3 linked regions of the Struthio camelus genome follow. The protein of the gene in region 3 purifies or fractionates together with the protein of the main gene of each other region. This does not show direct contact. Links are inferred from orthologs where the notes say so. Each region holds a gene or a part of one and is shown on either strand. Other genes may lie near its edges.

What was found.
Region 1: the proteins of PARP1 (region 3) and POLB purify together in Homo sapiens (affinity purification with mass spectrometry; 4 studies listed by BioGRID and IntAct, counting the BioPlex papers as one, with this or other methods). This does not show direct contact. The link is inferred for Struthio camelus from reciprocal best matches to the Homo sapiens genes PARP1 and POLB.
Region 2: the proteins of PARP1 (region 3) and WWP2 purify together in Homo sapiens (affinity purification with western blotting; 3 studies listed by BioGRID, with this or other methods). This does not show direct contact. The link is inferred for Struthio camelus from reciprocal best matches to the Homo sapiens genes PARP1 and WWP2.

What each region holds. Positions count from the first base shown.
Region 1 is NC_090968.1:7,952,812-7,962,747, forward strand, and holds the start of POLB (DNA polymerase beta), read right to left. Parts: upstream 4,571-9,936; 5' UTR 4,442-4,570; coding exon 4,381-4,441; intron 4,312-4,380; coding exon 4,254-4,311; intron 4,058-4,253; coding exon 3,991-4,057; intron 3,406-3,990; coding exon 3,331-3,405; intron 2,813-3,330; coding exon 2,754-2,812; intron 2,176-2,753; coding exon 2,126-2,175; intron 1,689-2,125; coding exon 1,637-1,688; intron 46-1,636; coding exon 1-45. Other genes in the region: uncharacterized protein, read left to right, coding at 9,049-9,936.
Region 2 is NC_090951.1:1,473,778-1,483,265, forward strand, and holds the start of WWP2 (NEDD4-like E3 ubiquitin-protein ligase WWP2), read right to left. Parts: upstream 4,571-9,488; 5' UTR 4,482-4,570; intron 3,912-4,481; exon of another isoform or gene 3,765-3,911; intron 1,079-3,764; 5' UTR 1,064-1,078; coding exon 994-1,063; intron 1-993. Other genes in the region: RNA-binding protein NOB1, read left to right, coding at 4,686-4,748, 5,494-5,626, 5,909-6,042, 6,132-6,203, 6,431-6,562, 6,714-6,932, 7,335-7,432, 7,618-7,762 and 1 more. UniProt on the Homo sapiens protein: E3 ubiquitin-protein ligase which accepts ubiquitin from an E2 ubiquitin-conjugating enzyme in the form of a thioester and then directly transfers the ubiquitin to targeted substrates.
Region 3 is NC_090944.1:125,658,273-125,667,656, reverse strand, and holds the start of PARP1 (poly [ADP-ribose] polymerase 1), read right to left. Parts: upstream 5,177-9,384; 5' UTR 4,982-5,176; coding exon 4,862-4,981; intron 2,617-4,861; coding exon 2,454-2,616; intron 1,567-2,453; coding exon 1,448-1,566; intron 265-1,447; coding exon 50-264; intron 1-49. UniProt on the Homo sapiens protein: Poly-ADP-ribosyltransferase that mediates poly-ADP-ribosylation of proteins and plays a key role in DNA repair.

The sequences.
Region 1 (9,936 bases), on a different chromosome or scaffold from region 3:
AGCATTTCTTTCCTTGGGATTCTTTTCTCAAAATCTTCAAAATATCTGCATATATAAAAATAAAAATGCCTGAGGGAGAAGTAGTGGCAACATCTAAAACTTTTACTCAGTGAAATGCATATCAGAAAAACAATACAAATTATATTACTGTTATGTCACAAATAAACTTCCCCTTTCTCACCACAGACAGCTTGAAAGCAACACCTTGCAAAGCAATGGCAAACTTGCAACTGAAGGTCTTAGAAGATGGCTTCACTGCATAATTTTGCCTTGTATCTGAAGAGCTGCTGTGAGATGGGAGTTATACTACCATATGATCAACTGGTTTACATTTACATAGCTCTCCAAAAATACAAAAGGTAGTTCACAAAACTCAATCCATCAGCAATAAGCAGGAAAAGGTCACTCACCCTTGGTCAGAGGTGACCTAAGTTGCCAAAATCCAAACAGAAGCTCACAAGCCAAATACAGAGCTTCTGAAACATCTACGCACAGAGCTGTAGAAAACAAACTGCCAGTGTATAATGTGACTTCGGAGGAAAAGAGGCCAACTGAAACAATGGTGTACCGCCTGCCTGACCAACACCAGAACCATTGACAGGAAGCCCTGGCAGCAGCACTGCGGCCTGGGAGCGCTACATATCCACTGACAGTCATGATCCAGCCAGTCCAGTTTCAAGCACTACAGACAAGGGTTCTGCATATGGGACAAGTTAACTGCTTTTTTTCAGGCAAGTTGCAGCACAACTAGGGACAAAAAGACCATACAGCACTAAAACCATTCTTACAGCTCAGTACTTTCGGGTGGCTCTGAAACAAGACCTGAGTACAATTCCAGGAGCAGGCTGAAGGGCACTAACAACATGTAGGGATCCTGGAGAGATCAGCTGGGTTATCTCATGCTCGCTTAACAATGAAAAAAGTTTTTCCTTAAATGCTACATGTCTATAAAGACAGGGATGCACACCAGAACAGGACTCTATCAGATAAAGAGCAGGAAAATGACAATCACTGCATAGCCCTTGTTACTCACTGGTGTAAGTTTGTCCAGGTCACGGATTCTGCATCTCTGCCACTGACGCAGAAACACTAGAGCTGGCCCCAACCAGATATATGAGCTGGCAGAACCAACCAGATTATATGAGGGTTTAGTTGATTCACTTGCAGCTTCTTGCAAACCCAGCTATAGTCCTTCCAGGACCAGCACAGTGGAGCAGTCACTTGGCAAGCGACAATCGAACTAGTAAGTCCAGAGAGAAAAGCACACGCTCTGCATGGCTTTCTCAAGTTCAGACATCGCAAAAGCTCTACCTTGCACAAAGCGTGACAAAAACGCCTCAGGGCACTTCCGTAGCACTGTGTTGAGATAGCAGGCTCTTTCCAAAACAGATTGCTGATGTAACCTTGCTAAAGTGTTTCTCCATGAGCCAACTGAAAAGTCATTTGGAAATAATTCCCTTCTAGATGGAGATTAAGCCTATGAATTTCAACTCCAATGAAACGAAAACTCTGAACTTCTGAAAAGCATGTAGAGCACACAGACAGAACCTTACTTGGCCGCTGTAATCTTACATTACATCCTAGTGTTGAAAGGAGTCATTAGAAAAGCCAAGAACTTGCATCCAAGAAAACCTACTTCAACCCAATTCGCTGGTGATGGTTCAGCTTGTGTTCATTTTTTCTTAGATCTAGAATAATATTAAAAAAAAATTCAAGTATTAAAAGTTTTATGGTAAGATTTCTACAGTACAAAGATGACGCAAGTGAAGAACGTGCAACAAAACAGCTACCTCACAGACCAACTAAAACATTTTAATGGCAGCCTGGTCAACAGCTGACAGCGTAAGTCAAAATGCACGCGGCACTGTCTGATAAAGCCTGACTTCAACAGGCCATTCGTCTGTGTGACAAAATCCATGTTGTTTTCTGTGAAGTCTGTAAGCATCTTACTCTGGAAGGTATAATGCGTTCACTCTGTGCAATAACTTTATTTTTTTAAAGCGCTTTCATCAAAAACTAGATGTAATTGCTATCACAGTACCACTCTGAGACAGGCAGCTGGACAGAAGAAGTGATACTGCAGTGTGAACTGAGGACCCAAAGACAGCATATGACATACACTCACCCTCTAAAGTCTTAATTCCTTCCTCTACAAACTTCCTAGCAGCAGCAGGACTGCAAAGAGACCAATTTGCAATCAGAAACAGTAAGAATCTCGTAACACTGAATAGAACATTAGAATTCATTATAATCCTCTAGCTTCTTCAAGACCAAGACGAAAGTCACTTCTGATGCTTGCCGTACACTTGGCACACATATCTGTAGTCTGTACTTTCAGTTAGCAGAGATGGGTATCCAAGGCTTGGGCTGCACATTTTTAGTATTGATACAACTATATAGTGCTATACAATTGTTTAAAGAAAAAAGAAAGAAAAAAACACCCTCACCAAATAAGGAATATTGCTTTAGCCAACAACACTGGGATCTAATCGCATGCATGATAAGGACTACTTTAAACATAATCAGTCTTTGAGCCAAATTGTAGCCACAGCAACAGGATTGTATTTGAACCAGCACTTAAGAAATGAGGCTCCGGCCTGCAGCCTACAGTACAGCAAAGCAGTCCAAACTCCAGTTTGGCTGGAGAGTTTGTCATTAGCACCATACTTAAGTGAACGGTTGCCCTTTCTTCCCCAAAAGCAGGTGCAAAGAGCGAGCAAGCGGGAGAAAGGGGGGCAAAGAGAAAGCTTTACCCGATGCCAGTAACTCGGGTCAGAAAGTTGATAGATGCACTTGTATCATCTTGACGAATCTGGAAAAATGAAAGAACACAGACCAAACCCTTCTGCACTCCACTTGCAATAAAGACAAAAAACTTGAGAAGATAATACTGCCCATTCAGATTCTGTTTTGGAGGCTTACTATAAATCAAAGCAAAGCAGAACGAAGAGTAATATTGTGCACCATGGCAACGCCATAGATACCAAGCCTGAAAACCCTCTGCCCTAACTACCTATGCTAAGGTAAACAGCACATTTAAAACTCAAAACTCCTCTGAGAAATGGAAGTCTGGATCCGGAAGACTGTGAAGACGTTCATATGCTGATGATATTATCCAAAATTTTTTCAGGAACAGGTAGTTTTGAGGCTTCAGCTGAGCTTCTTGTTCCCCAATTTCTACTCCCCATAAATTCCCTATCCACCATTCTCAGGTTTGACATCAGTTTCGCCAAAGATAATCCCCAAAGTTTCACAAAGTAAATAGGCTACTTTGCAAAGTGCAAAGAAAAGCAACTATTGTGAAGTATAGTGCACAGGAAAGAAGCCCACCTTTTCCAATTTGCGTAGTTTTCCAGTGGATAAAAACTCATCTATCTTCTCAGCTATTTTAGCACCTACTCCATCCTAAATATTGGAAGAAGAAGGGGTGGGGAGAACAAGAAGTTAACTTCCAAATCATTTATAGCCACTATAGCTAAGAAAAAAAAAAACACCCAACAATAGAAGTTACAACACAGAATTTAGAGTCCAGTAAGAATTAGGAGGTCATTGAGATCATGAAGTAGTGCAGTACTCCATGGTAAAACGCAAGCTGCATCAACCATCATAAATGAAGGGCTGTATTAAAAGTCTCCTGAAAGCAATTGTTTGAAACCAGGCTTTGACTCTTACAACTAAAGGCCCAAAGGTTAGCAGGGCAGTAACAGAATAAAGGGGAATTTTTCCCCAACGGCAGCCTTTTACAAGTAGGGCTGCAGCCAGATGGACCGGGTGCCTGCAGTTCCGGCCATGAAACCTCTACAGCACTCCCCACTGCAGCCAACCCCACGCCCACCTCTGAGCCCTGACCCAGACATCACTGGAAAGGGGAAGGGCAGCAGAGCTGTCACAGGCAGGGTTGATCCCGTGCTGCTCCTGCCCCTTCCAGGAGCCCCTGGCATCATAGCCCCTGCCAACCTGAGGCCCTACCACCATGGTACAGGCACCTACCAGCTTCTTGGCCTCAGCCCCACTCTGGATCTTGCTGGGATACCGGGAAATCACAGAGGCTGCTTTTCTGCAAAACAGCACCAGTCAGCGACTGAACCAGGCAGCAGCACTGCCACCTCCGTCGGGGGGAGCAGTGCCCCCCTCCGACGCGACAGGGGGGCGCAGGTGAGTGGGCCGGATCCCGGGAACAGGCAGTGAGGTGGGGGGGGGGGGAGCGGGCCCCGGCGCGGGGAAGGCCCCGGCGCGGGGGCGGGCCGCGATACCTGTATGCGTTGTACTTGTGAATAGCACGGTTCACGTTCCGCTCGTAGTTCGCCAGCTCTACAGGGGAAGACACCGTTAGAGCAAGCCAACCCCGCCGTAGTCCCGTACGCCCCGGTCATCACCCACCGGTGAGAAAGTCCGTGATGCCCTCGTTGGGGCTCTCCTGCGGGGCCTTCCGCTTGCTCATCCCGGACGCTCGCGGACCCGGCCGCGGGAGACCAGAGCGGCCGGCGGGGGGAGAACCGGATACCGCAACGCGGCGCTTCCGGCAGTGACCTCAGCAAAGCACGGCCGCCTTCAATGCGCATGCGTACTCCTGCCCCAGGGCGGAGCGTCGCCAGTGACGTCAGAAACCGTGGCCCCTGCTGCTCGCCGCCCGCCTCGGCGCGGCACCAGCCAGAGACGCGTGCGCACTGCAGCCCGCCGTGACCGCCCGAGCTCCACGGTTGCTCGTACTGCTGCGGCAACCGGCCGCGCTCCCGCCCCTTCTCGGTGCTCCCCGGCCGACGGCACAGCGGGTTTCTGCCCGTTGGTGCCGCCTCGTGTCTCGACAGCGGTCTGTGCAGCCTCCGTGCGTTCGGGACTATGTGTGAGTACCGGGAAGCAGCAACACGGTCACGGCAACTACTCGTGCGGGGAAATCCGCTGCTCGCCTCTCTTGATTACAAGGGGGAAAAACTGGGTGAGCGGCTCACGCATGCGCACTGCAGCACCGCTGTCCCTGCTACCTGCGCTTCGTCACAACGCGGGGCTGTAGCCAGGCGGCGTACGCATGCGCAGTGAGCTCTCGCCGTGGTCGGTGCCGCTCTCCTAGCAACCGGTTAAAGCCGCTATCAATACCGCGCATGCGCAATCGGGCGCAGTGCGCCGGGCTGCAGCCAGCCGGCTCGCTGGAGGGCGCTCTTCGAGGTAGCGGCCCCGCTGCCGCTCACCCCGCCGCTGGCGCGCTCTGAGGCGGCGCATGCGCGGTGCCCAGGAGCAGCATGGCGGCGAGCAGAGCCGCGCTTACCCTCGGAAGCGGCGGGGGCGGGCCGCCGGTCCCGGTGAAGCGAGCGCGTCCCTTCGGGTGGCCGCGGGCCCTGGGATGTTTCCTGCCCGCCAGGACCGTCGCTGCGTGGAGGCGGAGAGCAGAGGGGCTCCACAGCAGGAGCGCGGGTTTGACTTTCTTTTTCCCGTGCCTCGCCTTTCGGGCCCCGGTTCCTCCCCAGCGCGGGCCGAGGCGTGCGCTCGCCCCCGCGGATACAGCCTGGGGGTGCGGGGAGGCTGGCAGAGCCCGGTGCGGGAACGTGGCAGAGAGGTGGGGGCGTCCCTGGAGTGGCTACGAGTGCCGGGATTTCTCCTGCCCACCTGAAGGCATGGGTGGAGGGGAGGAAAGGGTGGGGGGTTTCAGGGGCCTGGCAGTGCTCTGCTCGATGAGTGCACACGGTAGGGTGTACCTGGAATGAGTACTTGACTCTTTAAATCTTGGTTTTAGGGTTGAGGTTCCTCCCCAAAGCAGGCTTGTGTGTGTGCCCTCGCTGATGTAGATGTAGATGGCCTGGAGGTGTGGGGAGGCAGGCCGGCCCACGAGCAGGATTTTTGCATGGTGTCCCAGGGAGGATAGCTCCTGTGTACCTCGTGTGCCCAAGGTTGTCGGTAAGTGACAAGATGACAACAAGTGTCTGTCAGTTACAGAGCTGCTTCTTGGTCATTCCCCTTACTAAAGAAAAATGAATTTACGGATTCTCTTTCACATGTAGAGACAAACAATATACCTTTCCTCAGGTCTAGCTGGGGTTTCACAATGCACCTGCGATAACACGTACTTATTGTCAGAGAGACGTTAGAACAGTTTCCTGTAGAGAATATAGAAAAGGTATTATCCTACATGGAGGATGCTGTGGTGGGCAGAGCTACAGAAGAAGAGGCGTGAGAGTGAGGTATCAGAGCCTTAAGTATGACTGGATAGGGCATGATTTAAGGTTAATTTGTGTACAGGGCACAATTAGTGCAACCCCAGTGTTGTGGGAACAGTTCAGCCCTAGGTTTCTGAGGAGTGAAGTCTCACGCATGTACAGCAGCTAAATTAATTATTTATTTAAATAACAGTATAACAAAGTAACAGCTCGAGCTGGGTGCATCCAGGGAGGCACCCAGAACAAAAGAATTCTTAAGTAATTTTCCTTTTTACAGTTTTATTTCCCCACCTGCCAGTGAAAGTCTCTTCCAATCTTCTTCAGTGGTCTCTTTCCCTCTGACTGGTTCATGTCTACATCCCAGGATGGTTGCCAGATGGTTGCTATGTTCCTGCTCTACGGTACCCTATCTTATCCGAAGGTCAGCCGTTATCTCTGTTCATTCTGGTCTGTATCCTTGAGGGCTGGTTCTAGCTGATGTTGCAGTGGCGTCGTCAGCAACGTTCTTTGGGTTACAGTTCAGTCCTGCGGCCTGCAGGTTTCACCTACTTTAGACACTTAGGCTAAGCAAGAATCAGACTTCTGCTCTGCTGAGGCAAAGTTGGCTACAATTCCCTTCTCTAACACCCAGGATCGATATACAGGTACTGTAAACTGGGGAAATAAGAAGCTGACAGAAGAAAGGTTAAAACTGTAAAGCTTTAATAAAGGAAATAAAGGATCCTTCCCATCAATCCTGAGTGAGAGGGTTGCAGTTCTTATAGCAGTGTATCCATCACTTTTCTGGTAACAGCAGACCGCAATGGGAGTTACTGGAAAGGAGTCAGGAGCAGAGCTGGAACAAGGGCTGTTTTCCCCAACCAGACACAAGCGGCTGTAAGCACGCTTGCCATAAACCAATGAGGACGAGGCCCACCCCGGGTGAGGACCTTGCCCTGGGCCTTGACTGCAGCCACCCGGTGCACCCCGCCGCCCGAGGACTGCTCCGCCTGCTCGCCGGGGCACCCCGGCCACTGCCGCCACCCCTCGGTGCTGCTGTGCCCCGGTGCTGCACCGCCGCCGGGACACGGGGGGCTCGTGAGGTCCCCACCACCGTCTCCTCCTGCAGGACAGAGGTGCCCAGCGGGGAGGGTACGAAAGGGTCGAGGCAGCCCAACTGGAGGGGCCGGCAGTGCGGGGAGGGACCCTCGCTAGCGGGGTTGCGCATGCGCACTGCGGCAGAGCAACTCCTGCTGCCCTCGGGTGGGAGCAGTTCGGTACTGCAGCCAGCGGAGTCACGCATGCGCATCCGCTACGAGTTGCTCACTGCTGCCCTCGGGTGGTGAAAAGTCGGTATAGTCAGTATAGCACCGGTTTGCTCGCGCATGCGCAGCAGCACCGGTCTGCTCTCCGCTGCCCTCAGGAGACTACAGACCAGTGCTGCAGCAAGGAGATTGACGTATGCACATTGACCCAGCTGTGCTCAGTGCTGCCCTCGGGTGATGACACCCCCAACAGTGCAGCCAGTCGAGGAATGCGTGCGTCCCGGGGCGCATGGGCTCCATCGTGCCCCTCAAGCGATGAAATACCAATACTGCAACAAGCAGCGCTCCTTGCTGCCCTCGGCTGGTCAAAAAGCAGTACTGCAGCCGGAGAGCGGCGCATGCGCTGTTGTTCAGCAGTCCTCGTTGCTGCCCCCGGCTGGCGAAACATCTGTACTGCTGCCGACCAGCCGCGCATGCGCAGTTGTTAGGCAGTGCTCATGACTGCCCTCGGGTGGCGAAATATCGGTACTGCAGCCGAAGCGGGCCGCATGCGCAGTGGTTTCGGCGTGGCTCGTTGGTGCCCTCGGCTGGCGAAACATCGGTACTGCAGCCGAAGCGGGCCGCATGCGCAGTGGTTTCGGCATCGCTCGTGACCGCCCTCGGCTGGCGAAACATCGGTACTGCAGCCGAAGCGGGCCGCATGCGCAGTGGTTTCGGCGTCGCGCGTTGCCGCCCTCGGCTGGCGAAACATCGGTACTGCAGCCGAGGCGGGCCGCATGCGCAGTGGTTTCGGCGTGGCTCGTTGCCGCCCTCGGCTGGCCAGAAATCGGTACTGCAGGCGAAGCGGGGCGCAGGCGCAGTGGTTTCGGCGTGGCTCGTTGCCGCCCTCGGCTGGCGAAACATCGGTACTGCAGCCGAGGCGGGCCGCATGCGCAGTGGTTTCGGCATCGCTCGTGACCGCCCTCGGCTGGCGAAACATCGGTACTGCAGCCGAAGCGGGCCGCATGCGCAGTGGTTTCGGGGTGGCTCGTTGCCGCCCTCCGCTGGCCTGAAATCGGTACTGCAGGCGAAGCGGGGCGCAGGCGCAGTGGTTTCGGCGTGGCTCGTTGCCGCCCTCGGCTGGCCAGAAATCGGTACTGCAGGCGAAGCGGGGCGCAGGCGCAGTGGTTTCGGGGTGGCTCGTTGGTGCCCTCGGCTGGCCAGAAATCGGTACTGCAGCCGAGGCGGGCCGCAGGCGCAGTGGGTTTCGGCATGGCTCGTTGGTGCCCTCGGCTGGCAAAAAATCGGTACTGCAGCCCGAAGAATCGGTACTGCAGGCGAAGCGGGGCGCAGGCGCAGTGGTTTCGGCGTGGCTCGTTGTTGCCCTCGGCTGGCGAAAAATCGGTACTGCAGGCGAAGCGGGGCGCAGGCGCAGTGGTTTCGGCGTGGCTCGTTGGTGCCCTCGGCTGGCCAGAAATCGGTACTGCAGGCGAAGCGGGGCGCAGGCGCAGTGGTTTCGGCGTGGCTCGTTGCCGCCCTCGGCTGGCGAAACATCGGTACTGCAGCCGAGGCGGGCCGCAGGCGCAGTGGTTTCGGCATGGCTCGTTGGTGCCCTCGGCTGGCAAAAAATCGGTACTGCAGCCCGAAGAATCGGTACTGCAGGCGAAGCGGGGCGCATGCGCAGTGGTTTCGGCGTGGCTCGTTGCCGCCCTCGGCTGGCCAGAAATCGGTACTGCAGGCGAAGCGGGCCGCATGCGCAGTGGGTTTCGGCGTCGCGCGTTGCCGCCCTCGGCTGGCGAAACATCGGTACTGCAGCCGAGGCGGGGCGCATGCGCAGTGGTTTCGGCGTGGCTCGTTGGTGCCCTCGGCTGGCCAGAAATCGGTACTGCAGGCGAAGCGGGGCGCATGCGCAGTGGTTTCGGGGTGGCTCGTTGGTGCCCTCGGCTGGCCAGAAATCGGTACTGCAGGCGAAGCGGGGCGCAGGCGCAGTGGTTTCGGCGTCGCGCGTTGCCGCCCTCGGCTGGCGAAACATCGGTACTGCAGCCGAAGCGGGCCGCATGCGCAGTGGGTTTCGGCGTGGCTCGTTGGTGCCCTCGGATGGCCAGAAATCGGTACTGCAGCCGAAGCGGGCCGCATGCGCAGTGGTTTCGGGGTGGCTCGTTGGTGCCCTCGGCTGGCCAGAAATCGGTACTGCAGGCGAAGCGGGGCGCAGGCGCAGTGGTTTCGGTGTGGCTCGTTGCCGCCCTCAGCTGGCGAAACATCGGTACTGCAGCCGAAGCGGGCCGCATGCGCAGTGGTTTCGGCGTCGCGCGTTGCCGCCCTCGGCTGGCGAAACATCGGTACTGCAGCCGAAGCGGGCCGCATGCGCAGTGGGTTTCGGCGTGGCTCGTTGCCGCCCTCGGCTGGCCAGAAATCGGTACTGCAGGCGAAGCGGGGCGCATGCGCAGTGGTTTCGGGGTGGCTCGTTGGTGCCCTCGGCTGGCCAGAAATCGGTACTGCAGGCGAAGCGGGGCGCAGGCGCAGTGGTTTCGGCGTGGCTCGTTGGTGCCCTCAGCTGGCGAAAC
Region 2 (9,488 bases), on a different chromosome or scaffold from region 3:
GGCAGGGCCACACACCCCTGCCCCACGCCTGCCAGCGTGGGGGGCCACGGGGCACCACAGCAGCAAGGAGTCAACCTGCTTTTGGAAAAGGGGGAGCAGGAAGCAATTCTCCCGATGGCAGCAGTGGCTGGATCCAGGTGCTCCCAGGCACCGACTCCTGCACGCTGCCTTCCTCTGGCCCCACGCCTCCCACGAACGCGCCGGGGAGAACGGGGGTTCTCCACAGCAACTAGGAGAGAGGCGCCCACTCAGGTGAGCCTCCAAGTCTCCCAGGAGGGACGCAATGTGCTCCCGAAGGGCAAGGCAACACTCCAGCAGAGAAGGACTGTGCAAGGCAGAGCTGGGGACGCAGCTCTGGCCTTCTGGAGCCATCTCGTGGCCATGGGAGCACAAACATGGCCCCAGCAGAGCTACAGAGCAACAGCCCAACAGCCAGCAAAGTAAAGAGGAGGAGGTGTTGCTCAGCAGACAGCCACTCTGCTTCTCAACGGCTTCCAGCGCCAGGGACACCCAGAGAGGGCTCTGGAGCTTCCACGTGGAAGAAGGCCAAGATCACGGTGTCCTTCCTCTGTCACCCTCGGTGGCTCCGGCACTACCCTCAGCATGAGGCCAGGATGGGCAGCTGGAATGCCATTTCCCTAGATAAACCTCTTCCAAGGTCGGAGACCCTGCCCCAGCTGCCACGTGCCCAGGGCTGTGATCCACGTGCTGATAAGGGCTGCCGGTTCCTCGGACCCCAGGAAGCTCACTATTTCTCCATCAGGATGGAGCATCCGACTGCAGAGGTGGTGCTGGCTTTCCCCAGCACCCAGTCCCTCCCCAGGAAGGTCTCCCACACCCAGGGAGAGCACAGGCCCGGGAACATCTCCTCCCTTCAGGAGCTGCTGGCTGCCGAGGCCAGCACGGAGGAATCCAGGACCAGATGCACTCGAAAATCCACATTCCCGGACGCTGGGCTCCCGGCCCCACCTCCAGCGATGCAGCAGGACCCACCTTTCACGGAGAGCTGGGACTTCTCGCAGGGCAGCCCTGCCCTGGCCCTGCTGGAACTCGCAGAGGCCATGGCATCACCGACGGGCTGGAAAGCAGAGAGACATGAGACACCTCAGCACCTCCGCCATCGAAGGGAGGAAGTCGAGGCTGCGTGGGGCCCCAGGGTCAGGGCTGCTCCGGGCCTCGCTGTGGCCCACGTATTAGGATGAGCGACACAGACGGCACGGGGTTCAGCGATGAACAGCGGCGGCCCATGCTGGGAGGTGCCGCACTGAGAAGGTTTGCAGATGCCCTCGGTGCTGCCTGTTGCTCACAGGGCAGCGGGAGGGGGCCAGTTCCTCCCGGGCGCATCCAAAGGCTTTGCTGCCACGTCAGCGCCACACCGACTCCAGCTCAGAAGGCCTCGCAGACCGCCTGGGACACCCTTGGCACACATGCAAATAGCTAATAAACACACGTTGCCTCTCGCTCCTGTTAAACGTTAACTGTGTACCACAGATGGAAGTAAAGCTGTGCCCTGCAGAGAGAAACCCCTCTCTCAACAGCACCCACGAGGCCTCAAGAGAGCCGGGCCAGCCAGGGGGAGCCCTTGGGGACAGCACCCCACAGGTGCTCTCTGGGCACTGCATTGGAGCAGCTCTAGCTCCCCACGATCCAAAGGTCATTGCTGATCACGACCAGCACGAAGACAGAGCAGTCTCCAAAGCACTAGGAAGATATGACGTCCACCCCGTGCTGCTGAGTAACAATACGGGTCCACAAGCAGTCTGCGCGGCCTCAGCCAATGCATCCTTTGGAAGGAACAAGTCAGGAACACTGCGGTAGAAGAGAGGAAGCTCCGGTCACACTATGGGAAAGTAGCCACATCCCTTGAGGACAGGCCAGGTCATTTCCTGGTGGCAAAATTTCACAGAAAAAAAAAACCTAAAACCCTGCAGCGCAGCAGCTAAGCGATGGGAACCACAGCTGCTCTCAACTGCTGCAAAGGATCACGCTGCAGCACAGGAAACTGGGGCCTCCAGCTTCTCAAGCACTCACCACTTCCTCACTTTCTCGGGCACAATGACTGTCACTGCAGCCGCAGCGCTTCACCCTGCCCCTGCACCACCTGCGCACCTCGCCTCTGAGACGCCTGCCCGGGGCTGGGAGCGGGCAGCGCGTGGCTGGGCAGGAAGGGGACTTGGGATGGCCAGGGACGCAGCAGAACACGTGGCTGCGCCTCTGCCGAAACAACCGACAACAAAGCAGAAGTACAGTCATGCAGCATGCACAAGCACGAGTTGTTTGGTTTGGGCCCAAGAGAGTAGGCTATTGATTCCCACCATCTTCCTGAGCCTGCAGACAGCAGTCATCCTTTACGCACTTCACAGGCAGAAGAGCTAGAGGGGACCTGCTGAATCCAGACTAACACAATCCTGTGGCAGAGAAGCGGCGCCTGCAGTAAATTCCAAGGTCACAGACCACAGGGGCCTGCCCACATAAACACCCGACACAACAGGACGGATGGAGGCGCTCGCTGGTTATTCCCCGGGCAGATGTGAACACAAGAGTCTCAATTCTGTTGCCTGGGGCAGCAGTGAGAGCTCAGACTGAGTCAAACCCGATCGCCCTCCCAACCCTGCGAAGCCGAAAGCACGCCTCCTGACCAGCTCTGGATTCGAGTCCCCGCCAGCCTCTCCATCCTACCTCCACCCTGATGATCACGAGCCCTCAGGAAAAAGTACAAAAAGGGGAAAGACAGCACATTTCCACTTCCAGCTCTCTGCCAGCTTCTCTGCTGCACAGGAGTCTTTCCTTCCCCGTCCACTCCGCGCCCAGCCATCGCCCCCTCCACGTTGCAAAGGCTCTCCAAGCGTTGCCTTCCTGCTGGAGAAACCACCACAGCACAACCCACAACCCCTTGGGGCTAGCGGAGTCGGCCAGGCCACCAAACCCAGGCCCTTGCTCTACCTTAGCAGGCTCCACCTCAAAGCCTGACCAGTCCCTTTTAAACCTCCTTTTGTAGTAGAACCGAGTCGTCACTCTCCATCCCCTTCTGTGTGCCACCCCAGCAGGAAATCGCCTTCCTGAGCACGGCAAACCAGAACGGCACACCGTACGCCAGCTGAGGCCTCGCCAGGGCCTTGCACAGTCCCCGTTTCTGCCTGGGAAAGCTCTGATATCAGACTTGCCGCTTTCTTGGCTCTGTCAGATTGGTGGGTCAAGGCTTGCTAATGCATGCCTGTCCCTTCCCCCTCACTCCCAACGGATAAGAATTTACTTGTGGAAGGAGGTCTTTTTATGAAGCTAATTGCATTTGCTATTATTACAGTTATTCCTACTCCAATTACTCTGCCCACAGATCACCCTGTCCTTCCCTTAGGATATCGTTATTCCTCGTGTTTGCTGCGAGTCCCCACCTCTGCATTACCAGCTTATTTCATTAGTGCCGTTCGCAAGGACCACAAAAACCAGCCAGACTCATGTGCCCTTCCCAAACAGCCACCGCCTGCAACCAGATACGGGGCTAGAGGGACCTGCGAGCCTGCCCTGTAGGGCATTTCTTACATTAATATTAGCGGTCTGGCCCTCAAAGTTACTATTACCCAGGGCTCATTCCCCTCTAGCAGGAATCTGGATCCCCATTCCTCCCCCCATAAACACAGGCCCTGTTTCTGCTCTCCCCCCCCCCCCACCCCACGCCAGCCCGTCCCGGCGCCAGCTCGCCCCGAGCTGAACTCCGCCAGAGTTCAGGAGGGCAATCTGGCAGCGTTAACCGCTTGCAGTTTCACCTCCCGCGCAGGGATCGCCCCTCGCCAGCCGGTGCTGTCGCCACGCCGGAGCGCGCAGGGCCGACGGCCGGAGCCCCCAGGCCATCGCCCACATATGGCGACGACAAACCCGCCGCCCGTTTGGGCTATGCCTCCTTCTTCTTTTTCCCTTTCTCTCCCCCCCCCTTTTTTTTTTTTTTTTGTTTTAATCTCGACTCTTTCCCCCACTTTCTCCTTCCCGGCTCGTGCACCGCCCCTCGCTCCCGTCTCCCTTCCGCGTCCAGCTCCCCTCCGCTCGGCCCCGGCGCCCCCCGTCTCCTCTCGCGCCCTCCCTGAAGCACGTCGGGAGCTTTTCCCCGCGCGCTTCCCCCGGACACCGCTGGCCCCGCTGCACCGCGGGGCGGCACCGGCTCCGGTACCGGTACCGGCACCCTCAGCCGCCTCCGCGGGCACCGGGGCCCCGCCGGTGAGCCCCGACCGGCCCCCCGGGGAGGCCGGACGCGCGGCCGGGCCCCTCCCCGCGGCCCGGGGCGCAGCGCAGCGCGCGGCCCTGCCCGCCAGCGGCCGCGGCACCGGGGCACCGGGCCGGGAGAGCACCGGAGCGGGCCGCCCCGAGCCGAGCCACGCTCGGCGGAGCGCCGCGGGCAGCGCCGGGCCGAGCTGCGCGGCGGCAGCGCCGGGCGGACGCGTCTTTCCCCCCCCCCTCCGCCCGCGGTGCCGTCCCGCCACCCCCGTTACCGGCGGCCGCTGCGCTCCCACTTCCGGCTCTAGGCACCGCCGTCATGTGACCCGCGCTCGTCACCTGACCCGCGCGGCCCGGAAGAGGGTCACGCGGGCCGGCGGCTCCCGGCGTGCCCCGCGCGGACTACAGCTCCCAGGGGGCGGCGCGACGCGGCGCGGTACGGGGCGCCGTAGGGGTCAGTAGCGGCGGCGGCGGCTGTCATGGCGCGCGTGGCGCACGTCGTGGCCGACGCCGGCGCCTTTCTGCGCGCGGCGCCGCTGCAGGTACCGGGCGGGCGGCGGGGCCGGGCCGGGGGGAGCGGGGCGGGCGGCGGGGCCGGGCCGGGCCGGGGGGAGCGGGGCGGCGGGGCCGGGCCGGGCCGGGCCGGGGGGAGCGGGGCGGGCGGCGGGGCCGGGCCGGGCTGGGGGGAGCGGGGCGGGCGGCGGGGCCGGGCCGGGCCGGGGGGAGCGGGGCGGCGGGGCCGGGCCGGGCCGGGCCGGGGGGAGCGGGGCGGGCGGCGGGGCCGGGCCGGGCCGGGGGGAGCGGGGCGGGCGGCGGGGCCGGGCCGGGCCGGGGGGAGCGGGGCGGCGGGGCCGGGCGGGCGGCGGGGTCGGGCCGCGGGGAGCGGGCGGCGGGGCCGGGCCGGGCCGGGGGGAGCGGGGCGGGCGGCGGGGCCGGGCGGGGCCGGGCCGGGCCGGGGGGAGCGGGGCGGGCGGCGGGGCCGGGCCGGGCCGGGCCGGGCCGGGGGGAGCGGGGCGGGCGGCGGGGCCGGGCCGGGCCGGGGGGAGCGGGGCGGGCGGCGGGGCCGGGCCGGGCCGGGGGGAGCGGGGCGGGCGGCGGGGCCGGGCCGGGCCGGGCCGGGGGGAGCGGGGCGGGCGGCGGGGCCGGGCCGGGCCGGGCCGGGGGGAGCGGGGCGGGCGGCGGGGCCGGGCGGGGCCGGGCCGGGCCGGGGGGAGCGGGGCGGGCGGCGGGGCCGGGCCGGGCCGGGGGGAGCGGGGCGGAGCGGGACTGACGGCGCTGCGCCGGCAGGAGATGGCGCAGAGCGTGTACACCGTGCCCGAGGTGGTGGCTGAGATCCGCGACAAGCCGACGCGGCGGCGCCTGGCCGCGCTGCCCTACGAGCTGCACTTCCGCCGCCCGCGGCCCGACTACGTGCGGCTCGGTGAGCCCCGGCCCTGGTGTCGCCCCCCCCTTCCCCGTCTGCGGTCCCTTTGTTTCTCGTTCCCCCCCACCACCCCCCAGCCCTGGCCCCAGTGTCTCAGCCCTGATTTGCCTCCCCCCCACCCCCAGCCTGGATCCCAGTGTCTCCCACCCCTCCCTGACCAGTCTCCCAACCTGGTCCCAGTCCCTACCTCCTCCCACTGCCCCAGCCTGGTTCTGACCTGACCCGGTCCCCCCCTGGCCCGGCCCGGCCCCCGCCGCCACCCCGGCCGTCTCTCCGCAGTGACCGACTTCGCCAAGAAGACCGGCGACTACCCAAGCCTCTCGGCCACTGACCTCCAAGTGCTCGCCCTCACCTACCAGCTGGAGGCGGAGATCGTCGGCTCTGACCGGCTCCGGCGGGAGCCCGAGGACAAGGTAGGGACAGACACAGGGCTGCCTGTGGGGCTGGGCCCCGCTGCCGTGGCAAGCTCTAGCCCTGCCAACCCGCCACGCTCCCTCCCCAGGTGCAGCTCAGCTCGACCCCGCAGCACCCCGAGGCCCCCCTGCACCTCGCTGGCTTCCACCTGCCCTCCAAGGTAAGGGATGGCGACACGACCCTCTGGGGTGAGGGCTGGGGACAGGGATGTAGTCCTTCGAGGTACGGGCAGGGGACACGTTCCTCTGGGGTGAGGGCTGGGGAGAGGGATGCAGCCCTCCGAGGTGCGGGCAGGGGCCGGGACCCTCCAGGGGACAGGGACGAAGCCCTGCAGAGTCCCTGGGCAGGCTGCAGGCGAGGGACACCCTGTCCTGTGTTGCGCTGCAGCACAAGCACCTGAGAAAAGGCCAGCGTCTGCCCAGCCCCGAAAGGAGCACGGCTGAGAGCCCCGAGTTCAGCTCCTTCCTCTTCTGGAGAAACCCCCTGCCCAGCATCGAGGAGGACTTGCAGGAGCTGCTGGTGAGACTCGGAGCGTCCGTGCCCCTCTCTGTGCTTTCTCTCCCCTTTTCCAGCTGGCTTTTCCCAAATCCTCTGCCAGACAGCTCTCCTCAAGCAGGCTGGTGCTGGGGGCGCGCTGTGGGCCTTGGCTGAGTTGTCTCTGCCCCCCCAGAACGCTCACGCCGTCTCCGTTAGCCCAGAGGCGGCTGAGGAGCACCAGAGTCCAGAGAACGGGGACAGCGCTGAGGAAGAGGAAGACGAGGAAGAGAGCGACGACGAAGGCTGGATAACGCCCAGCAACATTAAGCAGGTTCAGCAGGACACGGGGCACTGTGACACCACTCCCGCTGGCGTGCAGGTCGGCTGCGTCACCACTGACTTCGCCATGCAGGTGGGTGCTGGTGGCTGCCGTGCAGGGGCAGGCTGCAGCCTCGAGCTCGGCCGATGCCCTGTTGGTGCTGCACCTCCCCTGCTGAGATGGGTGGTTGAAGGGGGCTGGCACCGGTGGCCTGAGGAGCAGATTCCTGGATTGCTCACACCCCTGGGCTGGCTAAAGCAGCACGCTGACACTTGCCACAGAGGAGTGCACTGCTGAATCCCTGGAACAGGATGAGAGCAGCTTCGTGACAGCTCTCTTTTTGTTAAAAACAGCTGGTTTTGTCTACAGCAGAAGCCTCTGCAGAGCCTGTTTGCTTTGCTTCTGGTGGCCTCTTGCCACCTGGACAGTCAGCCCTGGGCTAAACAGTTTGGCAGTCCCACCTCATGGTGCCCTGTTTCTCCCTCCTCATTGCAGAACGTGCTGCTGCAGATGGGGCTCCACGTGCTGGCAGTGAATGGCATGCTGATCCGCCAGGCCAGGAGCCACATCCTCCGCTGCCACGGCTGCTTCAAGTAAGTGCTGTGTGCGCAGAGAAGTGCTGCTCCTCCCTAGCAGGAGCCCTTCAGGGCTCCTCTGGCCTTTTAAAGTGGCTCAGGGCTTTGACCTGGCTCACGTGGCTGGATGAACCTGCTCGTGTGGGCTAAGCCTGGGTTTACTGCTCCCTGGGCTGTGGAATACCTCTGTCACTGTCCTGCAGGACAACTTCCGACATGACCAAGGTTTTCTGTCCTCACTGTGGTAACAAGACTCTGAAGAAGGTCGCAGTGAGCGTGAGTGACGACGGGAGCCTCCACATGCATTTCTCCCGCAACCCCAAGGTGCTGAACCCACGAGGGCTCAGGGTGAGTAGCCGTGCGCGACGCGCCAGCCGGCTGCTGCTGGAACAAGGGCTTTCCTTGCCGCTGCCGGTGAGCGGGTGGGACCCACTGATGGGCGAGAGTCAAGGCAGAGCTGCAGTCGTCCTCTAGACCTTCCGCATAACCCAGAGGCTTTCAGGCTTCTTTCACCAAGTTCTTTGCTTGAGGCTAGGCCACTTGTCGAATGTTGAAGCCCCTCTGAGGGAGAGTTGTCCCTGAAGTGAGTGTAACAACTTCTGCTCTCTTCGCAGTATCCGCTGCCGGCTCCGCAGGGTGGGAAGCACGCGAACAACCCTCACTTGGTAGAAGACCAGCCCTTCCCACAGCAGCGGCTGTCCCGGAAAGCTAGGCAAAAGACCAACGTCTTTGACCCCGACTACATTGCAGGGGTGTCTCCCTTTGCAGAAAACGACATCTACAGCCGTGCAGCCAATCTGCAAATCCGAGACGCTGCCCTCGGTGCTGGCAGGAGGCGCCTGAACCCCAATGCTGTGACAAAGAAGTTTGTAAAAAGGAGATGAATGGCAGGCCAAGGCCTTCTCCCACCTGCACTGTGAGGGAAGGGCCGTCGCCCAGGTTGTTACGCACATTACTGTCCCGTGCCTGAAGCTCTGGGAGGATGAGACATTTCCTCGAACTGTTCTAAAGGCAGCTGCCCAGGACAAGGGGCTGGGCCTTTCCTTTTAAGTTTCTGTGGATGTGTGAAGAGCAGCCAGTGACTGGGGACAACAATAGTCGCGTTTCACAAGGCCTCGCACCTGAGCTGTCCGCCAGACCCAGCGTGCTGCGACGGGGGTGTTAGCCTGCAGGGCACGGCCTTAGCGTTCCGGCTTGTCTCCCAAGACACTGCAGCAAAGGGCAGCGTCGCCTGCCTCTAATAAAAACAAACAGCAGAGTCGTCGTGGCTCAGTCCTGCTGCACGCTGAAGGGGACAGGTCTGTCGTGGTTGGTTGCGGGGCGGGTGGGAGCGAAGCAGGTGCCACGGCCCCGGTGAGGGAGGAGCAGTGCTCAGCCCCACTGGTGCCTGGAGGGCTGTTGCCAGGCCTGAAAGATTTCCCTGTTTCCCAGAGACTGCTGCCCTCCAGCAACAGTGTCTACACCCAGCTGAGGGGAAGCAGCGAACACAACTAATAAGCCACAAGAGCGGAGGATGTGGTGGTGGTGCTGTGCTGGACGAAGGCAGGTTTGCTAAAGCTGCTTTCCCAAACTCCTGGAGACACCGCTGCCTTGCTCTGCGCAACAAGCAGAAGCCAGCGATTGCGCTGGGGCCAGCTGCCTTGCATGGTCGTCAGCTAAACACTTTGTCATTAGCTAAATGCTCATGAGGGCTAGGGAGACCTTCGGGGAACAGCATGCTTCCCAAAGGGACAGAAAGCACCTGGCCTCAGCCGGCTCGGGCTGCTGTGCCATTAACACTCCATGTCCAAGAGCGAACGTTTCAGGCCCTGCTCCCGCACCGGCTCCTCCTGATGCTGCACCATCTGACAGCTGCGTATTGTGGACAATAAGCCTCACCTGCTGGTTTTTGTACCTGCAGATTAGAAGCTGGGAACTAGAGCTGCATCTTGAGCTCCAGTAAATTCTGTTTTTTTTTTTTTCAAGTGACATGCTGAAAGCTTAGTGCTTGCCAGGAAAACCTATTTTGCTCCCCTGTGAGCAGCTGTCCAACCGCTGAACAGGTCATGCAATGACATATGTACCAGTTTAATAA
Region 3 (9,384 bases):
GACAAGTAATAGTACCTTTAGGTAACGCTCTCTCATACTCCCTACGTACCCTTCGCTCTTGGTAGCTGGAAGCTGCTTCTTCAGAGTTTCTTTATCTTCAGCTTTCAAGATCCCGAAGCCCAAGAGCTGAGCGGCCCCGTACGTCGGGAGGAAGCCCAACTCTGCTCGGCGGCTCACGAAACAGTCCGGGTGGTACCAGTTATCTATCATTCCCAGCTGCGGCTTTTCAGGATGCACCATCTTCTTGGAAATTCGGATCTGGCCCTGAGGCAGGTTAAAGTGACACAAGAGCAATCGTTAGGTTGCCCTAGGAAGAACAAGATGTTAATAAGCTCATCACAAATAAAGTAATTCCTGAACAGCTGCAGAACAGCAATGTTTCCTCTATCTACAGCTGTAACTTTTATTAAAGCCCCGTCACTTAAGCTCCTCTGCTTTCTTGAATATTTCTTCTGGATTGAATTTTTCCATATATACTTCAATTTGAAAGAGATTCTCAACTTTGGTAAAGTTGAGAATCCAGCCTTTTAAGTAGTTTTCTGCTCAATAAACCCCTCCAACAGGTAAACTCCTTGCAGTCTTCACTCACTCAACTCCCTGACTCCCAGTAAAGTTGAACAAGCAAAGCTCACGTGACCAAACTCTAAGCAGGGAACTCCAAAAGCTAGCTTTACGTCCCTAACGCTGAGCATCAGCACTACCAAGATCCAAAGAGCTGTGAACTTCCCGTCTCATCTTACTGCAAAGTACTTTTCAGATTCCGATAACTACTTGTTTTAGGTGTTTTTAGACTCCAGTCCTTCACGCTCCAGTACAGGTATGTCTATTCAGCAGTTGCAATGTTTCTGCGGACAGGAACACACCAGAACCGGTGTTTAGACCTGCACAGGTGAGGGCCGTTCACATCCATCAGTACAGAGAGGCTCAGAATCTCATTTTGCCAATGTTGTTTAAAAGCAGAGCGCTGAGACATGCTCAGCTATAGGGCAGGACACGGTGTTAATGAGCTGCATCACTAGTTTTGTATGCCTGCACCGAGGTAATACAGAAACACTGCACACGAACAGAACTCGTCTTGAGGAGGAGGAGGAAGAGGCTGACACCTTTGACATGCTCCAACAAGCAAAAGGTAGTTTGTGGTGGTCTTCTTGCCACAGAAACGCTGGTGAGCAGCGCTGCAGTCTGGTCCCAGGCCCAAGCAAAACAAAAAACCCAAACAAACAAACAAAACACCCCCATATCAGCAGGTCCAAAACCCAGGCTCCAGCCTGAGGGATGCCTTTATTGCCAGCTGTCCAGGACACAGCTGCTCTTTACACACAGAAGTGCAACTCTGCAAGTGCCTTCCATAGGCAAGGCAGGCAGGAAGCAATTATAAAAGTCACTGTTTGAACTGGGAGCAGCGGGAGAAAAGACAAAAGTCGGAGAACGAGGAAAAGCTCCTCACCTTTTCTATTTTCTGTTCGCAGCCTTTGCAAGTACTTCTGTTAGACTTGGCATATTCTGCAGCAAAGTCATTTAGGCTTTTCTCAGCCTTGCCACCTACTTCCTGGTCCCCTCCTTTTCCTAGAGGGCAAAGGCAAATACAGAGTTTGGCTTTAAAAGGCCTTTTTGTAAAGTTATTATTATTCTCTGTCCCAGATTGTTAGCAGTCTGGATTAATAAATCCCTGTGTTCCAGCAAACCACCTGTCAAGAATGTGAATACAGAGTAAAATAATCAGTCCATGCTCAAAAGCACTTTTAAAGCATGAAGAGTTTAAGCAAGTAGCAATTGCTGAGGGCTGCTCAAAGGATTTTTGAGGACTTTCCAAGGTACCCAGAGCTGACCTCTTTTCTAAGTAGTATGAAATGAGATCTTACTGAAGAATTGACTGTAACAGCAGTCACAAATAGCCATGCTTCAAAACAGAACTCCTCTTACCAAGTGCCAGTTTCCTTTTACTTTAGTATTACTACATTTCAACAGGCAGACATCAATCTAAAACTGCCCAGTATGCTCAGTTTATATAAAGATTGGGTGGATTTAGTCCGCTCTGTACCCAGCTCCTTCCCACTCGCTTCCCTGATTCATTAGTTCGCCGGGCAACAATACGGAAGAGCCACGATAGCCATGTGCTACAGTGAAGGTATCGTTAAAACGACACACTACAAAAGCATTTGTTAACGTTAAGGAACTGAAACCAAAATACACCAGGCATGAAAACAAGAATATCTGTCAATGCATCTGCCAACTGCCTTGTTTTTCCCTTGCTGGTTTCAGAGGCTAGACCATATTGCCAGCTTCCTAGTCTGCGGTGCGCCGTCACCATGGCAATTCTGCCCACCTCACTTCCTGAAGGGACAGGGTAATCACCTAACTGTAATCTGTCAATAGCTTGACAACAGAAAGCACGCTTCCTGTTGAACCTCTGAACACCTGCTTGGCCTCATCACAACACCACCTCTGCTTACCTCCTCCAGGTCCTCCAGTTTCAATGGCTTTCTTGATTTTCTCCTGATCTTCCCATCGGAGCTCAGGGAAGCCATCGATGTCCGTATGGGACACAATTCGAGCCCGCTTCCAGAAGCAGCTGTAGTGATGCCAGTGAGGGACTTTGCCATCAAACATGGGCGACTAGGAAGAAAGTAAAATTAGGCCAAGATGAAGCCAGTCAGACAGCATCATGGGGAGGGTGAGGGGGGGGGAAGGGAGATAAAAATTGAAATATCTGGGTAAACACAAGTAATTTTTTTTTTCCAATTAAAAAGATATCTGCAATTTAGGACAAAGCCTAGGAAGAAAATCCAACGTGACAGACGAGGTGCCTGGGGAGAGGACTCAAAGGGGATACATGCAGAAAGAGAGTCTACCCAGCTTAAGCAGTTTGTCACCCTATTGTTTAGCCCTTCCACATTACTCGAAAAAAAAAAAGGTTGTAGCCTCAGCAGGGCTATACCAACCCTGAGCAGACAAGGAGAGGTTTCTTCTCAATGAGAATCAGGCCATCGGCAGGGATGAGCAATCGAAACAAAGACAGTGGATAAGCCAAGCGCTGTTTTCCGGGGGATTTATCCACTACAGCCTCCTGCCTAGGGAGCTGCAGGAGGCAGAGGCAAAACTTCAGAGCAACATTACAGTCCAAAGAAGTTCTGCATCAGGACAGAACCACAACCTAACTCCTTCCCCAAAGAGCAAATCCAGAGCACCCTGCCTTGTACCAGCCTCGCCGGGGAAGCGCGCTGCTCGGTCATGACTCAGACACATCAAGTACCAACCCGACATCGTTCCGGTTACCAATCAGACAAAATAACGGCTTAGCGGTTTGGCTCCGAGGGATGTACACAAACAATGGCTGTATTAATAACACACAGTGCTGTACTATTATTTTTATTACTAAAGATACAGAATTAATGAACTAGGAAAGCCTTCTGCGTACCACTTACGGACAGGAGAACCAAACGCAACAGCAAAGCTTTGCCCACGAGCAGGACGGAGGAGGAAAGGGCTTCTGAGGATCACAGCATGGCACTAGGAGAGCCAGGAGCCCTGGATGACCACCTAACCTCCCGCCAAAACCGTGAAAGGGCATTCACGTTTCCAGCTGCCGGGCTCCTCCCGTGAGCAGGGATTTGGACGGCACAGTAACCTCAGGGCACAGCAGCCCCGTGGGAGTTGCTCTCGGTGTGCTGGGCAGCCTCACGCACCCCCCGTGACACCACAGCTTGGCCATCCCTTAGCTGCAGAAAAGGCACCCAGCATTTTTGTGGTAGACCCCTCGTGGCACCAGAGTCAAGCCACAGCCTTTTCCCCCCATGAAGGCTTTGGGGGGGGGAGGGGGGGGGTAAGGCACAGGGGTGCACAGGAGGGGGTAGAGCTTACAGACCCTTGGGGACAACCTCGCGAGCGGTGGGGAGCCCTCCCCTACCGCCGAGCGCCTGGAGCACAACTGCACTCCGCCTGGGAAACAAAACCTCCAGGCGAGCCCGACCTTGTTTACTCAGCTTCTCCCAGCGCACCTATCTCCAGACCACAGTTTCCTAAACAAGCTTCGGGGAAAAAAGGGGAGCCAGGAGTGCTTTCTCGTCACACGTGCAGATAACACAAATTGCTAAGTGCCAGCTGGAAGCAGAAGCTGGACAAGAGCTGAGGCTGCGGCACCGGGTGCCAGCAACCCCGCCAAGCGCCGGGCCCCCCGGCGTGGCTCAGGGCTCCCTGGGGGGGAAAGCCCCCAAAGGCGAGGACGGCTGCAGCAGGAGGGGGCCGCGGCGGGAGCTGCCGCCTGCCTCGGGTTTCTTCCGCGGCAGCAGGAGCGCAAGGCGCTGACGGAGGGGCCGAGAGGGGCTTCCCGGGGGGCGGGAAGAGGGGCAGCACGGTCCGAGGAGCGCTGCTGGCCCAGAGCAGGCAGAGGGAGCCGCGGCAGAAGGGACCACATGAAACCAGCAGTTTTGGGTTTTTTTTTTTTTTGGGGGGGGGGGGGACAACGACTTGCAAGCAGGCGGTTAGGACGGGTGGTTTCGGGTGGGGAGGGGGGTGGGCGCCACGGCTGCTGACGCTGCTCTTTCCCCTTTTCTCCCTGTTTTTCTTCCTCCGGCCCGCCGCGCACGCCCCCGGCGCTGGGGGGGGGGGGGGAAGCTGGGCGCGCCGCCGCCTGCCCCCAAAAGGGGGGCGGGGAAAGGGTGGGGGGTTTTTGGTTTATTTTTTGTGTGTTTATTTTTATCTCCTTCCGCAGGCGCGGTGCGCAGCGCGGGCAGCCCCCGCGAGCCGCGCAAGTCGCCGCACTCATCCTCCCTCCCTCCCTCCCTCCCTCCCCCCGATAAATCCGGGGCGGAGAGAGGCTCAGCCGCCGCCGCCCCGCGGCCCCGGCCCCGCCACGCGGTACCTGCACCATGAGGGCGAGGCGCAGCGAGTCCTTGGCGATGCTCTCGCCGCACTTCTTGCAGGAGGCGCGGCCGCTCTTGGCGTACTCCGCCCGGTACAGCTTCTCCGCCGGCTCCGCCATCGCCCCCGCCGACACGACCCGCGCCCGTCCGCCCGTCCCTCCGTCCGTCCGCCCGTCCCTCCGCCCGCCGGGTGCGCTAGCCGAGCGCCGAGCGCCCCTCCCCGCCTCCGCCGCCTAGTCGGATCCACCGCTCGGGCGTCGACTCGGCGCGCCTGGTGGCGCCTCGAACGTTCCGCTTTGCTACATTGTATCAATGGGGGCGGGGCGGGGGGGCGGCGGGTCACGTGGCGGCGGCGGGGAAGGGGGAGGGGGCGAGTGGGAGTGGGCGGGTGCGTGTGGGGGGGGTGTGTGTGACTGTGCATGGGGGTGTGCATGTGGGGGGGGTGTGTGCATGTGTAGGGGGTGTGCATGTGGGGGGGTGTGCGTGTGTGTGTGACAGTGCATGGGGGTGCGTGTGGGGGTGTGCGTGCATGTGGGACTGTGCATGGGGGTGCGTGCGTGTGGGGGAGGTGTGTGCATGTGTGGGGGTGTGCGTGCGTGGGGAGTGTGTGTGTGGCGGGGTGCATGTGTGTGCGGAGTGTGCATGAGTGAGTGTGCGTAGGGGTGTGCACGCGTGTGGGGGGGTTGCCTGCATGCAGGGAGTGTGCACGCGTGAGTGTTGCGCGTGTTGTTTGCGCGTGCGAGCGTGTGCATGTGTGGGGGGGGTGCGCCTGTGTCTGTGTGAGCGGGCATGTGTCGTGTGTGCGAGTTGGGTGTGCTGTGTGCGCGTGTGTAGGGGGCGTGCATGTGCGAGCGTGTTGTGTGTGCATGCGTGTGTGTGGGGGGGTGTGCACGTGTCAGCGTGTGTGCGAGTGTGTGGTGTGCTTGCCTGTGTGTGTGGGGGGGGGTGCGGGTGAGCCCCCCGCCCGGGAGCGCTTTTGGGGCTGCACCCATGGGACCGGGGGCGGTGGGGGGGCCCGGGCTGCCCCTGCGCTGGCCTGGGGAGCGGTGGTGCCTGAGCGGCCGAGGACGAGCTGCACCTCGCGGCTGCACCTCGCGGCGGGCCAACAGGATTTAGCTGCTTCTGTGACCTCTCCTCTGGAAAGAGCCCCCCCCCCCCCAACCGGGCTTGCCCCAAACTTGGGGCAACGCGCTGGTTGCCCCCCTGGCAGTTCATGCTCTAGGCGACGAGGCGGGAAACGCCTCGAGGCTGAACCCATGGGTCCGGCCGATGGTCCTGTGCCTGGAGGATGAGTCACCACGACGCTTCACGGGGGGGGGGTGGGGGACGGGAGCACCCCGGGGGGACAGGAGCACCCCGGGGGGACGGGAGCACCTGGGGGGATGGGAGCACCCCGGGGGTACAGGAGCACCTGGGGGGGACGGGAGCACCTGGGGGGACGGGAGCACCCCAGGGGTACAGGAGCACCTGGGGGGGACGGGAGCACCCGGGGGGGGACGGGAGCACCCCGGGGGGACAGGGGCACCCAGGGGGACAGGAGCACCCAGAGGGACAGGAGCACCTGGGGGGAACGGGAGCACCCCGGGGGTACAGGAGCACCTGGGGGGGGACAGGAGCACCCAGAGGGACAGGAGCACCCCGGGGGGACAGGAGCACCCCGGGTGCTGCAGCCCAGCACAGGGCGCCGGTGGGACTCACCGGGGGGGCCGAGCGCGAGGAGGGAGAGGCAGAGCACCGGCCGAGGGGCTGCCGAACCGTCTGGTGGCCCTCTGCCGTTCTCCTCGTGAGCCCTCCGGTTGCGCCCGGACGCCCGGCGGAGCTGGTGCCTCTCACCGGCGGCCGCGCGGTCCTGCAAGAGACGTCCCGGCCGGGGACCGCCTGCTTTCCTCCCTGGTAACCGAAGGCAGGACGATAAGCGATAGACTTGTAGCTGGTGAGTCGAACTCAAACATGGTGCACGGTCCTTCCTCGAAGAAGACACGATATCATAACGCGTTAGGGTTTAAGGTCGAAACAAAACCGCCTGGCGCGGTCCCTACGGTTCGCAGAAGATGCTGATGAGGTGGCTTCGAGGCCTCCGCGTAAAAGCAAAAGTCCCCCTCAGGTATGCGCCCCCCAGCCCCCAGTGACGACCCCGACAGTGGCAGACCCTGGCCCGGGCTGGCCTGTCCGTAACCCTCACCCGCCCCTCGCCGCCGCCCCGCCATCCCGAATAACCAAGGTGAGGAGGTGTCCGCCGGCCGCTCTGCAGACAGCGAATCTGAGAAGAGGGGGGTCACAGCGAGGACTCGCGCCCCCCGTTAAACCCTCCTGTCGCCGGGACGGGCCGTCCCCCCCGCGCAGGCGAGAGGAGCGGCGCGCGGCCCCCGCTCTGCCCCTCCGGCAGGCTGGCGGCCCCCTGGCAGCAGCAGCACCAGGGCTGACGGGTTGAACGGCAGCGCTGCGGTGCCGGGCCCTGACCACGTGCCGGTCGCGGCGGGCGGCTCTGCGCCCCTCGGGGACAGGGCAGAGCGGGCAAGGCCTAGCCGAGGGCGGCGAGGACGTGCGGCGGCGCGGCGGGCGCCCGTACGGGGCTCGGCAGCCCGAGGAGGAGGCAGCGGGACTCGCCGGCGGCGAGGAGAGGGCCGGCAGAGCGGTCGCTGGCTGCTGCAAGCGCCGCGAGCTCCCCGGCGGTCGCAGGTGGCGGGTTGAGACGAGCGACGCGTACGCGTGGGGCGCGCTACCGTGGGACGTGGTGGAGGCTAACGTCTGGCGCGGGCTGGGGAAGGCGGCATTAGGCATACCCGCAGCAGCAAGGACCTCCGCTGAAGGACAGCGCCTGTGGCTCAGGAAGATCTTGAGTTACCAATCTTGGCATCCTGAGAAAATCTCCCAAGGGGGTATCGCTCCGTATCTGCTTCAACTCTTCTCTAGGCGCCTGCTGGCGGCCACCGGTGGAAAGAGGCTGCTGAGCCGGATGGGTTATTGCTCCGACCTGACAGGACCGTTGCGTCCTTGCGACCGGGCTGCGCGGGCCGGCAATCATGGAGGGGCTGATCCCCACCCGCCTCGCCTTGTGCAGGGAGCTTTCTGGCCATGCGGGCAGCTCTGGAGGTTGTCAATTGGCCGCGTGGCCGCTTCCCTCCCCCCGGCTGCAAAAACCCCTTCCTTCTGGTGAAAGAGCCGCTCCGTCCAGATCGGACCCTGCCGTGAAAAGGGGCTTCATAGGTGGTGGGAGAGCTTGTGTTTAGCAGGTATCCGGGAGCCAAATACTGGCCAGGTGATTTCAGTCCCAGACAGGAGCTTGCCCAGGTCCCTGGGGATAACGGTACAGATCCTGAAGAAGGCTCCAAAGGGCGCTTTGGTTTAGCTAAGCGTTGCCTTTCCATCTCTTCTGGCAACATCCCGGGAGGCAATATCCTCTCATGTCGGCAGAGGGCATTGGTACTGTATCTCCAGCGGACAGAGGGAGAGGAGAGCGCTGAAGTTATTGCAAACCCGCGACAAGTATTTTTCATGAGTTTTACAGCGATTCTTGAATGCGGGTTCAAGGAAAGCAGTATGTTTAGTCCCACGTGGGCTTCAGACAGCTCACAGGTGTGAGTCGCAGCCGGACCTCCGCAAGCCTGTACGGTCAGATTTTAATGTGCCCTCCTCATTGCGTACGCTCCCTCTCCAAGGATTTCGTACGCTTGCTGTGAACATAGGCAGCGTTTGCCTTCCCAGTCAGCCCTCCGCCAAGGCACGGGCTCGCGCCGTGCTGGGCATGGCAGTTGTGGTACAGATGTGCGCTGAGCACACACGCTGCCCCGCTTCCAGGGAAGGAGGAAAACCAAAATCTCTGTAATACAGTAGATGGTGCTGCACGCACACAGTCAGGCTCACACGCTTACCACACTAGAAGCTTAAACATTTCAAATTACTTTTTGCAGAGGTTCTTGAACCACATGCAAACGTTCAACATTCGGCAAACGTACTGCTGCCCAGCTCTGTCAGGCTTTTCCGAGAGAAATGCCCATTACCCACAAAGGAGGGTTCACCGGCAAGAGCCATCCCAAGACAAGCCCTCGGGCCATTCAGCTCTTGCAGGGGCCGCCTGCCCGGAGCAGATGTAGGAACAGGCAAGCGAGCGGTGCAAACGCCCCCAGATATTCCCCAGCCTCCCGAGAGCTGCGGCCCAGGGATTTCCTGAGCTGGAGCTGGAGTTCCCGCATACCATCGTCCAGAGGGGAATTTTTCTTCCATGAATTTGTCCAGTTCCCCTCAAAATACCCTTCAGTTTATACGGTATTTATTTACGGGGTTCCAGCAAAAGAGAAATAACTACCTGGTGGTGTTGCCTGCTGCAGCGGCCGTTTTCACTTCTTGGGAAAGACAGCAGTGTCTGACAGCCAAAGCGCTGTTCCGCAACCTGCGCTCTAGAGGCCAGCGGGGGTCCATAACATATCATAAAATGGTCTGGAAAAACAGCCCCAGCCATTTGCAGGCACGCAAGCATGAAAACATGCAATGGAAACGACTGTAACAAATGTCTGTTCAAAGT